Canis lupus familiaris: one gene and its partners. The protein of the gene in region 2 interacts with the protein of the main gene of each other region in a pairwise test. Links are inferred from orthologs where the notes say so. Each region holds a gene or a part of one and is shown on either strand. Other genes may lie near its edges.

Region 1 (4,250 bases), on a different chromosome or scaffold from region 2:
AGGAAATGCCCCACAGGGTTACCCCAGGGACCAGGAGAAAGCACATAAAAAGCTCACACTACCTGGTGCCACACTGGGTGTCCCCATCGCCATTCCAATGAACGTCAAGACTGGCTCTTCCTGGAGAGCTAGCCCTGCACACCAATTGCAGCAAGGATTCCTCTGGTCAGATTGCCAGCCTTTGAGCCCAGCACTGGCTAAGAATTTCTGCATCTCTTTAAAACTCCTTTAACAGTCCATTCCAAGAAAAACCCAAAGACCTTTTCTTTGCAGTTCCAGGATTGAGTTTACAGAACTTGAGTTCAAAGTGGAATTTAACCTTGTATGCCCAGGTGGGGCCTTACCTGGGTACTCAAGACTAGTCAGTGTTATGGCTTATGAGGCCACAGCCTCACCCCCAGAGTCTCCTGTGGAGGCCCTGAGCCCAACAGGATTGAGCCAACTCCACTTGACTTGGTCACCATCACCAGGGTAGAGATTAAGACAAGAAACCAGGTACACACGAGCTCAAGTACTTTCACTACAAAATAATTTATTACAACACAGCTTCAGCGCAAGCCTATGTACAAGCACACATTCCTGACACCCCCAACTAGGGGACCCTTTTCTTCTCCCTGGCCTTTCTGACCTCCTCTATCAAATCTTTCAGATACTGGATCTCCTTAGCTAAAGAATCTGCCCTCTCCTTCAGAGCCTCGTTCTTCTTTTCCAGTTCTTTACACTCACCAGTGAGGGCTTCCTGCTCTGCCCTCTTCTTCTGGCGGTACCTAGTGGCTGCTGTCTTGTTCTGCTCCATTTTTTTCAGTTTCTTATCTAGTTTCTCAACCTTTACTTTTGCGGTCTTCTCTCCAGGAGGGTCATAGGGTTTGGGGCGGGCAGAACCACAGAGGGAACCTGGAGACAGCAGGCTCCTATTTGGAGAGCCCCTGGAGGTAGAGGGGCTATGCTGGGGGGACCCAAGATAGGACTCAGGACTCATACAGATGCCACTGTCATTATCTGAGGGGGCATCTTCCTCCTTTATGCACTGAGGGATCACGGTAATGTAAGCAGTAGAATCTGACTTTCTATCTCCTTCAGAGATATCCACTTCACTGCCTAGCTCTAAACTAAAAGAATGATCTGGAGTGGAGGACAGGGCCCCTGGGGAGAGTGGAAGTGGTTGCAGAAAGGTAAAGGGGGCAATCTGGTCTGTTTTTGGTAAACTTTCTGGGAGATGGCCAATTGGGTTCACGATCTGAGGGGGCTCCTTATTAGTCTCCTGGACTAGGGGGTCAAAGAGATCACACGTGTCATCCAACGTGGCCAAAAGCTCATCTGGCATGGTTTCCAGGTCATCTATACTGAACAGAGTGTCAAAATCAAACTCCTTCAGATCCATTTTCTCCACCATCCAATCTGTCCCGGAGAAGGCATCCTCTGCAAAAGAGTCAAGAAGGAACCCGAGAGGTCAGACGCACACTTCAGCAACAGCCCGGAGACCAGACCCGGCGGCCAACGACCCCCACTCACCCTTGCCGTTGTCTGAGGCACTGACCAACCCATCCAAAGCCAGCCATTCGGAGGAGCCCGCCTTAGCCTTGTCGCTGGAGAACCCATGAGGTTTGAAGTGCTTGGCCACCTCCAGGTAGTCGTCTAAGAGACCTAGGCTTTCCTCAGCCCCCAAACCCGACTGGTCGAAGGGGGACATCAAGTCCCCCACCAACACCTCGCTGCTCAGGAAACTCATCTCGGCCATGTCGCGGGACTTTACTGGAATCGAGGAATGTGCTTAATTCGAAGGTGTCTTTGTCGGTTACAGCAACGCTGCTGCTGGATGCCGTGAAAAGCCTGAAACGGAAGCAGAAACCGAAACCCCTTCGACATCGGCCGGTCCGGGAAGCTCATCCCTTCCTCCCGGGGGCAGGACGGCCAGACTGGAACTCCACTCGGGAGCAGAGGCTCGGGGACACGTGGCCCCGGGGCCATGGCTTCCACCTTCCCCGCGGCCCCGTCGGGCCGCCCAAGATGGACGCCCTCGGGGCCGGGCCGCTCCTCCCCCCGCCGCCGGAGGAGGCGCGCCCGGCTCATGTCCAAATACGGCCCAGGCCGCCCGGCCCCGCCCACGGCCGCCCGTGACTCACGCTGCGCCGCCGCCGCCCTGCCCGGCCGCCATCTTGGCCCCTGCCACGTTTCGCGGGGGGCCGGGCGGGAAGCCGTCGGGGGCCGCGGCCGGGGCCGGGGCCGCCGAGGGCTCGCTTCTCCCCGCCGGGCCGCACTCTCCTGACCCAGAAGCGTCGGCGTCTCGAGGACACCCAAACAGGGGCCACGCGTCCCGGGCGCTCGTAAAGCCGCTTCCCCCTACGCGGCACCGCCCCGCCCCGCCGCAGGCCGCGCCCAGGCGGGCCGACTGCCCTCGCCGACCCGGGGGAGCACGGCGCGGGCGGCCCCGTACTTACGCCATGGCTTAAGCCGCTGGGGGGTGCCGCTGCAGAGCCTGGTGCTGCTGCCGCCGCTGCAAAGGCCAATGCTGCCGCAGGCACTGCTGCCTCTAATACGCCATGGCGGCCGCGGACCCTGGGGGATTGGAGGAGGGAAGGCGCACGCTTGCCACAGGGATCTACATCTACAGGCGGGAGGAAGGGAAATGGCCGCGCCGCGCCGATCGAGGGTCCTTTATAGACTTTGCCTCTATGAGGACGCATCACACCGCACATCCTTCCGCCGCGGTCACGTGACCCGCGCCTCCCACCCACCCGTCTTCGCGATCCGACGCCCCTATCGTGTCCGACCAGCGACTTTTAGGTCCACGGCGTAGCTGTGAAGAGAAGAGTTGTTACTTCCAACGTCTCGAGAAAGGAAAAAGGCGCGCTACTTTGCAAGGCTACTAAGATCAAAGAGCCTCTCCTCCCTCTGCCGCCGGGAGCGCGGAGGGATTCCTCAGACACACCTCGCTTCCGGCGTCAGCCTGGGGGGCGGGGAGAGAAGTCTTTCACCTCAAGGAAGGTTTTTATTGTGAAGTCAGAGGCCGCCTGGTTATCGCGCGAGATGCTGGCGGAGAGCGAGCGTCGAGCTGATTGGTTAGACATGGTGAGTCATATATATCTCGGTTTCCTATTGGCTCAGACCCCGGGATGGGCGGGCCGCTCCGAGCGGGAGGCCGGGTCCGAGCGGGAAGGGGCGGAGCGGCCAGCGGGGTTCCCGCCGCCGGGCTGTGTCCTCCGTGGCCGCGTCTCGGTGAATCCGCTCTGTAGTGGCTTCTTGAGCCTGGCGTACGCGAGGCTGTCCGAGACGACCCTGGCTCCTCCCCCGGGCTTCTGGAGCCCGAGGAGTCCCAAACGGCGACATCAGGCCCTGGCCCCTGTGGTCCCTTCCTGCCACCCTCCGTCCAGCTCCGAATTAGAGACCCAAGTTCAGGCCCGAGATGAAACTAGGCAAAAGGAAGTGGAATTTCGGGTGCGTTTTCATCACACGCAAGCACCGAAGTAGCTGAAAGGGGAGACTGAGGGCCTCAGTCGGGTTCTAAACGCTCCCCACACACCGTCAGGGGCCAACGCCGCGTCCTTCCCGTGAACTCTCCAGTCCGGTCGGGAAGGTGCACAATCTAGCCCAGTTAGTGACTCTCGCATACCGGCCTGCCAAAACGTTTCTGTTAAAAGTATGCAGTCTATCACAGGGAACTTCTTTTGGTTTATACAGATGCAGTTCCCCTAAGAGATTTTGTTAAACTGGTATCTGTCCCTCTCCCAATTCTGCAACCTGGTGGGGGGAGAATCTTGAGCACCCACGCCCACTCACGGAGGTTTGGAGGTTCGTGTTTGGAAGCGGCGGTCCAGGTCAAGGCCTGCAACTTGCTCTCCACCGGAGAGCTGTGAAGAGTGCCGGGAAAGGTCTCCACTATCCTCCGTCTCCTTCAGGCCCCTGGAGGGCAGAAACCTTGGAGTTTCTGCCTCCGTTTTAGTGGGCCATAGAACTGTAGGAGGGCTGTGAGGTCAAAAATTGGGGGGGGGGGGGGGGGGGCGGACACTGTCCTTGATAACTACAGACCACTCACTAGCCAGCCCAACGATTTCTTTACAAGGTCAAACTGAGAACTAATGGGAGGTGTGTGGCCCAAAGCCACACAGCTGCCAGTGGAGGCATGGGTCAGGCCTCAGATTTTAGAAGCAAACCCCAAAGGATCCTGGCTCTGCTATTTAGTAGCTGAGACATTTTGGTTAAGCAGTTTATCCTTGCTGAGCCAGTTCCCTCATCTGTAAAATGAGGCTAAT
Region 2 (3,644 bases):
CTTATTCGTAAACTGCAAACCCAACCAAACAACAAAAAAGATAAAATCCAACCAAACAATCCTAGACACTCCCCCAGTTGGGGAAAAATGAGATATTTGAAATCAGGGCCAAGTTGGAAAATCAGGAATGGATGGTGATTATGACTGATCGTCAAAACAAATTGATCCTTGTGACCTTGGCTAGCGTAGCCGCAGGAACAGCCTATGGGCCCCCATCAACTGCCTGCTCCCCTATTGCAGTTTCCTCTCCATAAATTCCAAAGATCCACCTGCCTGGTCTTTCTGCTACACTCTCAGTTCCTTCATCTGCACTTGTTTCTCCCCAGTACAACTATGGGCTGGAAATAGTTTCCTCATTTCTTCCCGACCATACCCTATATCTTAATCTAGGTGGTGGCCACACAGGTTAACAGTCACCCATTTAGTAGAAGTGTCAACACACACTTAAGATGTGTGCACTTTACCGTATGTCACTTATGCACTTAAAAAAATTCGTCTTAAAAAATCGTTCCGTATTCCAGATTTATTTATTTTTATTTTTATTTTTAAATTTTTATTTATTTATGATAGTCACACAGAGAGAGAGAGAGAGGCAGAGACACAGACAGAGGGAGAAGCAGGCTCCATGCACCGGGAGCCCGACGTGGGATTCGATCCCGGGTCTCCAGGATCGTGCCCTGGGCCAAAGGCAGGCGCCAAACCGCTGTGCCACCCAGGGATCCCGTATTCCAGATTTAAAAGATAAACACAGAGATAGGGCTATGAAATCTGTGGAATAACATTACCTCAGACATTACTCTGGGGTAAATGGAAGTAGGCTATAAAACCAAATGAATACTGTGATTGCAGGTATGAAAACACTGAGTAAGGGAGGAAATGAAGTTGTGAGGTTTTGTGCTATGGTAAGTAAGCTATAGATTTTCTATAATAAGGCCATATTGGTTTACAATAAAAAAACAGATACAGGGATCCCTGGGTGGCGCAGCGGTTTGGCGCCTGCCTTTGGCCCAGGGCGCGATCCTGGAGACCCGGGATCGAATCCCACATCGGGCTCCTGGTGCATGGAGCCTGCTTCTCCCTCTGCCTGTGTCTCTGCCTCTCTCTCTCTCTCACTGTGTGCCTATCATAAATAAAAAAAAAAAAAAAAAAAAACAGATACAAAGGGGGCATCTGGGTGGCTGGAGACCTGAGGTCAAGCCCTAGAGTAGGGAGCCTGTTTCTCCCTCTCTTCCCTGCTCATGCTCTCTTGTGATCTCTTTCTTGCTCAGATAAATAAAATCGTTAACACAAACAAAAAAACAGACACAATGGTCTGAGATCTGAAACATAACTTATTTTAGCAGAAACCTGACTCTTTTATCTTTGTGTGTGTTTTTTTTTAAGATTTTATTTATTTATTCATGAGAGACACAGAGAAAGAGAGACATAGGCAGAGGGAGAAGCAGGCTCCATGTAGGAAGCCTGATGTGGGACTCGATCCCGGGACCCCGGGACCCCAGGACCATGCCCTGAGCCAAAGGCAGAGACACTCAACCGCTGAGCCACCTAGGTATCCCTGACTCTTATCTTTGTACACGTGATATTTAACTATCTGTCAAAATCACATGTATGATTTTATTATCTAATTGAAACTTTTGAGAATAATGTCTACTTTTTTTCATTTGTTTTTACTGAAGTTCAATTTGCCAACACATAGTATAACACCCAGTGCTCATCTCATCAAGTGCCCTCCTCAGTGCCCATCACCCAGTTACCCCAACCCCCCAACCACCTCCCCTTCACATCTACTTTTAAAATGAAAATTAATGGCCAGGCTGGATTAGATATGGAAATATTGGATATAAAGACTTTTTAAAGAATTTTTAAAATACCGTGAAGTGAGTCACATTTATCCTGATTCAGCTTTCTGAAATGAATATTCTTTCGAATGGCAATTACTAGAGCAGTAATTTACTGGAGACCCAATTTATTTAGACTGGACGTCCATCAAATAATGAACACCACCAGGAGCGCTGGAGAAATGTTTCTTTTTTCAAAATGTGCGAGGACAAATCCCTTCCAGTGAGTAACTTACTAAGATCTTGGATCCCTTCAAGGCACTAGAAGTGGGTTCAAAGTCTTAACCATTTGCACTAAAGCCCACTTTCGGCTACTTCATATCTGGATGGCTGAGGATCCACTCACCTGCTGTTAGCCTGGGGGGCAAGGGTGCCATTCTGTTCGGGTGGCGTCTCTGTTGGTTTGGATTTGAAGTAATTGACGAACCCCCCAAACATGCTCTTAATGCTGTTAATGTGCTTCTGGCTGGTCTTCAAATCTTGATCCATCTTGTCCACCATCTTCTCTGTGCGTTCTAAGACACCCCGCTGACGGACGAGCTCCTGGGGAAAACAAGAGGTGATGGCGTCACACCGTTTTATAATGTTCCCCCTGCAGGGGACCACCCAGAGCAGGTTTGTCATGAGGCCTCAGTGAGCACAGGTGGGGACACATAAAGATACTGCCATCTGTGAGGGGAATGTTATCCTTTCTGACACCACATTCCTTTGTCCTGCCTCAATGGGCTTTCTTTCGTACTTGCTCCCGAGTTCCTTTTCCCTCCTGCCCACATGATGCTGGCTCACAGGACCATGTTAAGATGGATGACGCGTACCTGTGGGGGTCAGAGCGCAGGCCTGGACTGGTGGCACATCCTCCAGCTCTCCCTCTTTTTGGCCCCCTGTAAAACTTACGGCCTTTGACCTGACACTGCCCCATGGACTATGGCTCTTATAGCCCCCTTTTCAAATATGGGATTTCCAGTGGGTCACTGGAGCTACCTGGCCCTGGTCACAACTTCAAGTTCTTTCACAAGCTAGGTTCTGGGTCCTTTCTGGGCCCTGTTAATATCTGATCCCAGCAGTTATGTTACCTGTGGCAGACTTCTCTCTTAATATCTTAAAACAAAATCATGAACAATTTTTGATTAAATGCTCCAGACAACTGAAGGATAAAAACAAAAAATATATAATGGGTTTGTTACTTCTAAAAGTGTCAGTAGAAAGCTTTTAGACCATTTAGGGACACAACGTGCAATCTGAGTTCTCAATAGTTACAGCAGGTGAAATTTTGAAATATAATGTACGGGCAGAAAAAAATCCATTGAATTTATTATTAAATTCTGTTAAACTCCTGTTGGAAATAAACTTAGAAAATGCTGAGCTTTACAGCTTTGAATGTTTAAATGTTTTTTCACTGGCCCATGAGACATGTCTGAAGAAACCATCAGGTTTTTTTAAACAAAAGGAAAAACCTTTCCTGCACTGTGTCATTCTTGCAAATGCCTGGACTGTGTCAAAACTTGCAAGAGCTCGTTTTTAGAAGAAAAAGAAAAAAACCAAAGCTGCTAATTTATCTAGAGTTTCTCCTTCTTCCAACACTTCAGGTTTGTCATCTTCACGTCCATTCTGAGGATAAGTCTTTTCTGGAATAAGGAAGGCAAGGCTCTTAATTAGGATCAAAATGATGTTCTCCAGCACTTACATGTTTATTGAGTTGACACACTGCCAGGGCCCTGGCACACCAGGAGGCAGGTCCGTGGCCTCCCCGGCAGCGAGGTCTCTCATGGCGGCTCATCTCACCAACCACTTGCCCTCTTGCTTTGG
Region 3 (4,116 bases), on a different chromosome or scaffold from region 2:
TTTAAGGCTGAATGCAGGCTCATTCACTCATTTCGGGTCTCCTCCCAAACAGGCAAACAGCTTCCTCTCTTGCCATTCCCCAGAGATTGCAAAGTAGGCTGGGGTGGGGTTGGGTGGAGAACACATGAAACAAACACTGCCAGTTTCCCCTTCATTTCTTCCTATCTTGATCCCTTCCCAAACCCAAATCCTACCCACGTCTGTCCCTTTATGATAAGTTCACAAAATGCAGTCTTCTGTGGGAACATTGAGGTCATATGCTCAAAATTAGGGAATGATTTTTCTCCCATCCTCAAGGGAATGTTTTTTAAAATTTGAGAATCTAGTTCTCTAAAAAAAAAAAAAACCTGGTTTGGGATATACAGTAAATGAAGAGGCTGTTTGGGAAGGATTTAGATGGAGAATGAATTTGGGAATATGAGAATGCGTTTTAGGGAAGTAGCAAGATGAAGACGTAGTTAGCTTAGTGTTTGGGTTTTGCAGTCAAATCTCAGAAAAGCAAATTAACCCCTCTGGCCTTAGTTTTCTCCGTTTTGTAAAGGGGTAAATAACTCTTGACGAGTTACTTTGCTTCAACATTAAAAAAAAAATCGATTTTCCATTATCTATTCTGAACGTAAAGATAGTTAGAACATTGTCCCTTGTCTATGAACAAGTGAATTGCGGTGAAGATTGATACATAGCATGTGCTCAATAACTATTATTATCATCGCTTTATTGTTTGGATTAGAAGAGGGGTGGAGGGAGTAATGAAAGCGACCTGTACACCTTAGAGGTGCTCCGCAATTACTACCAAAGCCCTACAGGATGGAAGTAGAGTGGGGAATTTCAGGAGTTCGGTTACCGCTCTGAGTTACAGGGGTGTGGAATTCTCCCATATATGGGCCCGACTTCTCAGTATAGAACAGAATAGGATGCTAGGGCTGAGGTCATCTGGTACAGTATTATGCTAATCAAGAATCCTCGCCTCCCGTCGCCGTGCTCTCGGCGAGAAACAACACGGTCACACCGGCTCCTCCAATCCGAGCCCTAACCGCGTGACGTCATCGCCCCGCCCCATTTCCCCAAGGCCCAGGCGGCCAGTCTCTAAGCGCCTCTCCGCGGCACCAGTTCCAGCGGCGCCTGCGCACGCGCGGCGGGGCGGGGCGGACGCGTGCGCGCGGCGTGGGGGCGGAGCCAGTGCGCACGCATCCCGAGCCCCTTCCCCCGCCCTTTCTCTTCTCGGTTTCCCCGTCAGGCTGCGGGTTCAGTCTGGCGGCTGCTTCCGGTAGGAGCGCGGTGCCGGGAGAGTCGGTCTCAGTTCCTCGTCATGTCCTACGGTCCCTTAGACATGTATCGGAACCCGGGGTCCTCTGGGCCCCAGCTCCGGGACTTCAACAGCATCATACAGACGTGCAGTGGCAACATCCAGCGGATCAGCCAAGCCAGTGAGCTGGGGGACGGGGCTGGGGGGCGGGGGCCGTCCCGGGGCCGGGCCTGGGTGAGGTTGCCGGGATGCGGAGCCCGGCCGAGGCTACGGGCTACGGCCAAAGCCACACCTGAGGCAGTCTCGGGCTCTCCACTGCGGGGGCGGCAGCTGTCATCCTTGAGTGTGTCAGGCCCAGGCTCCCCGAGGGTCCCCAGCCCCAGCTGAAGCTTGAATTTCTTCTCAGGTGTCCTGCCCTCATGATATTGGGGCCGAAGCAGCAGTCCTGACAGCCCTGGGGTGGGAGGGGTGTGTGTGTCATCTCGGGAGTAGTGAGTGAGTTGACTTGGCGCAGTGGTCAGCCGAGTTTTTCCTGTCATTTGCCTTACCCCCACCCACCGCCCTTTCCTCTTTGGCCAGCTTGGATCAGGAGTTGTTTACTGATCTAGACTTTAAGTTTACATTCTGCTCAGCTTTTTGCTCCTTGGAAATCAGCTTTCAGTTAAGGGAAGTGGGGAGTGCATGTATTTGGGTGACTTAATACCCAGCTCTTCCTCTAATGAATTTGGAAATCAGATATAATGACTTGTGTTTGAGGAGTGAAATGACTTATGTTTTAATAAAGAGAATTCACCGAAAACATTCCCCTTGACATGGTTTTGTCTTTTGTAGCAAAGATTTGCACATTTATTTGGATTTCAAGCTGACGAAGCTTCTGCATTCCTTCCCTATTTAGCTGCTTTTTTGAACAAATCTCATACACAGAGAAGCTCAGGATCACAATCACACAGGAAGTAAGACATGGTAGAGTTAGTGGTGGATTTCAGAATGTCGTTGCTTGTCTTAAAACTACTCCCCCACCCCCATCATTGGGTCTGAGTAAGACTGAGCTGATTGAGACAAATACAGGCAGGTTCTTGTGCCTGAAGATCATTGCAGAGAGCCCTATAATCAGGTTAGTGGCACAACTTTACTTGGAAAGAATGGTGATCAGCATCCTTTATTATTGTGTTTTTGTGAGCTTGGCTCTACTCTGTTGATAGAACTCAGTTGGTCCTAAATTATAATTATGTTCTATATATAAAGAGGGGGAAAGTTTCTGATGGAAAGAGTGTGAGACCAGGTGAATTGGAAGTGGAAGGAAAAATATGTGGCCTGTTAGGATAGAAATTTAAAAACATTAATATGACCACTGATTTGAAAGTGTAGTACTTTGTGTTCCAATGTCTCCTTTTGTGAGGGAGCTGTAGTACCAGTTAGGTCAGGAAGATTCTGGTTCAAGGCTGAAAGTTTATTGTTGAGGCTAAATCTAACCTTAATGTCTGTTTGAGAAATTTTCATTCTACAAATGTTTGTTTGACTATTAGATATACTCATATTGAGTATAGGAACTGTCATAGCCTGGATTCTTTCAACAGGGAGCCTATGGAGTACGTAACAACTGAAGTATAAAGTTGAAAGGGTTCAGTACTGAAGAATAGGTATAACAACATTGAGTAGGTATTCAGGGGGAAAAGATACCAATTTCACTTGGGAGGGATCTGGGAAACCCATTGTGGCATTTGAGCAAGTCTGGAAAGTAGTAGAAAGGATTTGAACTTTTAACAGTGAGGAAGGGAAGAGGAGGGAATAAAATGAACAAGGCGTGGTAGTGGGAAAGCATGGGGTGTATATAGAAAAGTAGAGTGATTTAATTTGGCTAGAAGGGATTCTAGAAAGTTGTGGAAAATTGCGTTGGAAAGGTAAGTTGAGGGCAGCCCAGGTGGCTCAGCGGTTTAGCGCTGCCTTTGGCCCAGGGTGTGATCCTGGAGACTCGGGATCAGGTCCCACGTCGGGCTCCCTGCATGAAGCCTGCTTCTCCCTCTGCCTGTGTCTCTGCCTCTCTCTTTCTCTCTGTGTCTCTCATTAATAAATAAAATATTAGGAAAAAAAAAAGGAAAGGTAAGTTGGGGCCCAAACATGAAGGGCTTTAAGCGCTAAACTAAAGGGGGGTGGATTTAGTCTTTTTTTTTTTTTTTTTTTTTTTGAGTATTTATTTGTGAGAGAGAAAATGAGTGGAGATGAGGGTGGGAGGAAGGGACAGAAGGAAGAGCAGACTCTCCACTGAGCAGGGCGCCTGACCCAGGGACCTTGAGACATGAACTGAGCCAAAGGCAGCTACTTAACCAGCTAAGCCACCCAGGAGTCCCTTGGATTTAGTTCTTTAGGAATGTATAAATTGAATTGGAAGGGAAAAACTGGAATTAGAGACACCAGTCAGGAACTGTGAAAATGAAAAGGAAGGAAAGGATAGGCTTCTGTGGTGACAGAATTGATAAGATTTAGCTGTTGGTTGGGTATTGGGCTCAAGGGATTATTGGAGTCAACCATTAATAACACTAATAGCTAACATTTGAGTACATTCTGTGTGCCAGGCAATTTGAAAAGTGCTTCATATGCATTATCTTACTTAATTTTTTAACAACTCCGTTTAAGTAATTACCAATATTATTTCTTTTTATGGGTTAGGAAACAGATTGATAAAGTTTAAATAATTACTGAGCAAACAAATGACAATTTCTGAATTTGAAACCAGATCTGTCTCTTATGACCAATAATTAGCCTTTTTATACTTTTTAATTAATATTATATTTGTAGCAGTTAGCACTTTTAAAAAAATATTTTATTTATTTATTCATGAGAGAGAGAGGCAGAGACCTAGGCAGAGGGAG

What was found.
Region 1: the proteins of SNAP29 (region 2) and ATF4 interact in a two-hybrid assay, tested with the Homo sapiens proteins (2 studies listed by BioGRID and IntAct). The link is inferred for Canis lupus familiaris from reciprocal best matches to the Homo sapiens genes SNAP29 and ATF4.
Region 3: the proteins of SNAP29 (region 2) and STX12 interact in binary tests that used the Homo sapiens proteins (3 or more experiments, as listed by UniProt). The link is inferred for Canis lupus familiaris from reciprocal best matches to the Homo sapiens genes SNAP29 and STX12.

What each region holds. Positions count from the first base shown.
Region 1 is NC_049231.1:26,489,716-26,493,965, forward strand, and holds ATF4 (cyclic AMP-dependent transcription factor ATF-4), read right to left. Parts: upstream 2,653-4,250; 5' UTR 2,439-2,652; intron 1,831-2,438; 5' UTR 1,739-1,830; coding exon 1,513-1,738; intron 1,420-1,512; coding exon 593-1,419; 3' UTR 508-592; downstream 1-507. UniProt on the Homo sapiens protein: Transcription factor that binds the cAMP response element (CRE) (consensus: 5'-GTGACGT[AC][AG]-3') and displays two biological functions, as regulator of metabolic and redox processes under normal cellular conditions, and as master transcription factor during integrated stress response (ISR).
Region 2 is NC_049247.1:30,788,631-30,792,274, forward strand, and holds part of SNAP29 (synaptosomal-associated protein 29), read right to left. Parts: intron 2,382-3,644; coding exon 2,185-2,381; intron 1-2,184. UniProt on the Homo sapiens protein: SNAREs, soluble N-ethylmaleimide-sensitive factor-attachment protein receptors, are essential proteins for fusion of cellular membranes.
Region 3 is NC_049223.1:71,975,297-71,979,412, reverse strand, and holds the start of STX12 (syntaxin-12), read left to right. Parts: upstream 1-1,309; coding exon 1,310-1,427; intron 1,428-4,116. UniProt on the Homo sapiens protein: SNARE promoting fusion of transport vesicles with target membranes. Together with SNARE STX6, promotes movement of vesicles from endosomes to the cell membrane, and may therefore function in the endocytic recycling pathway.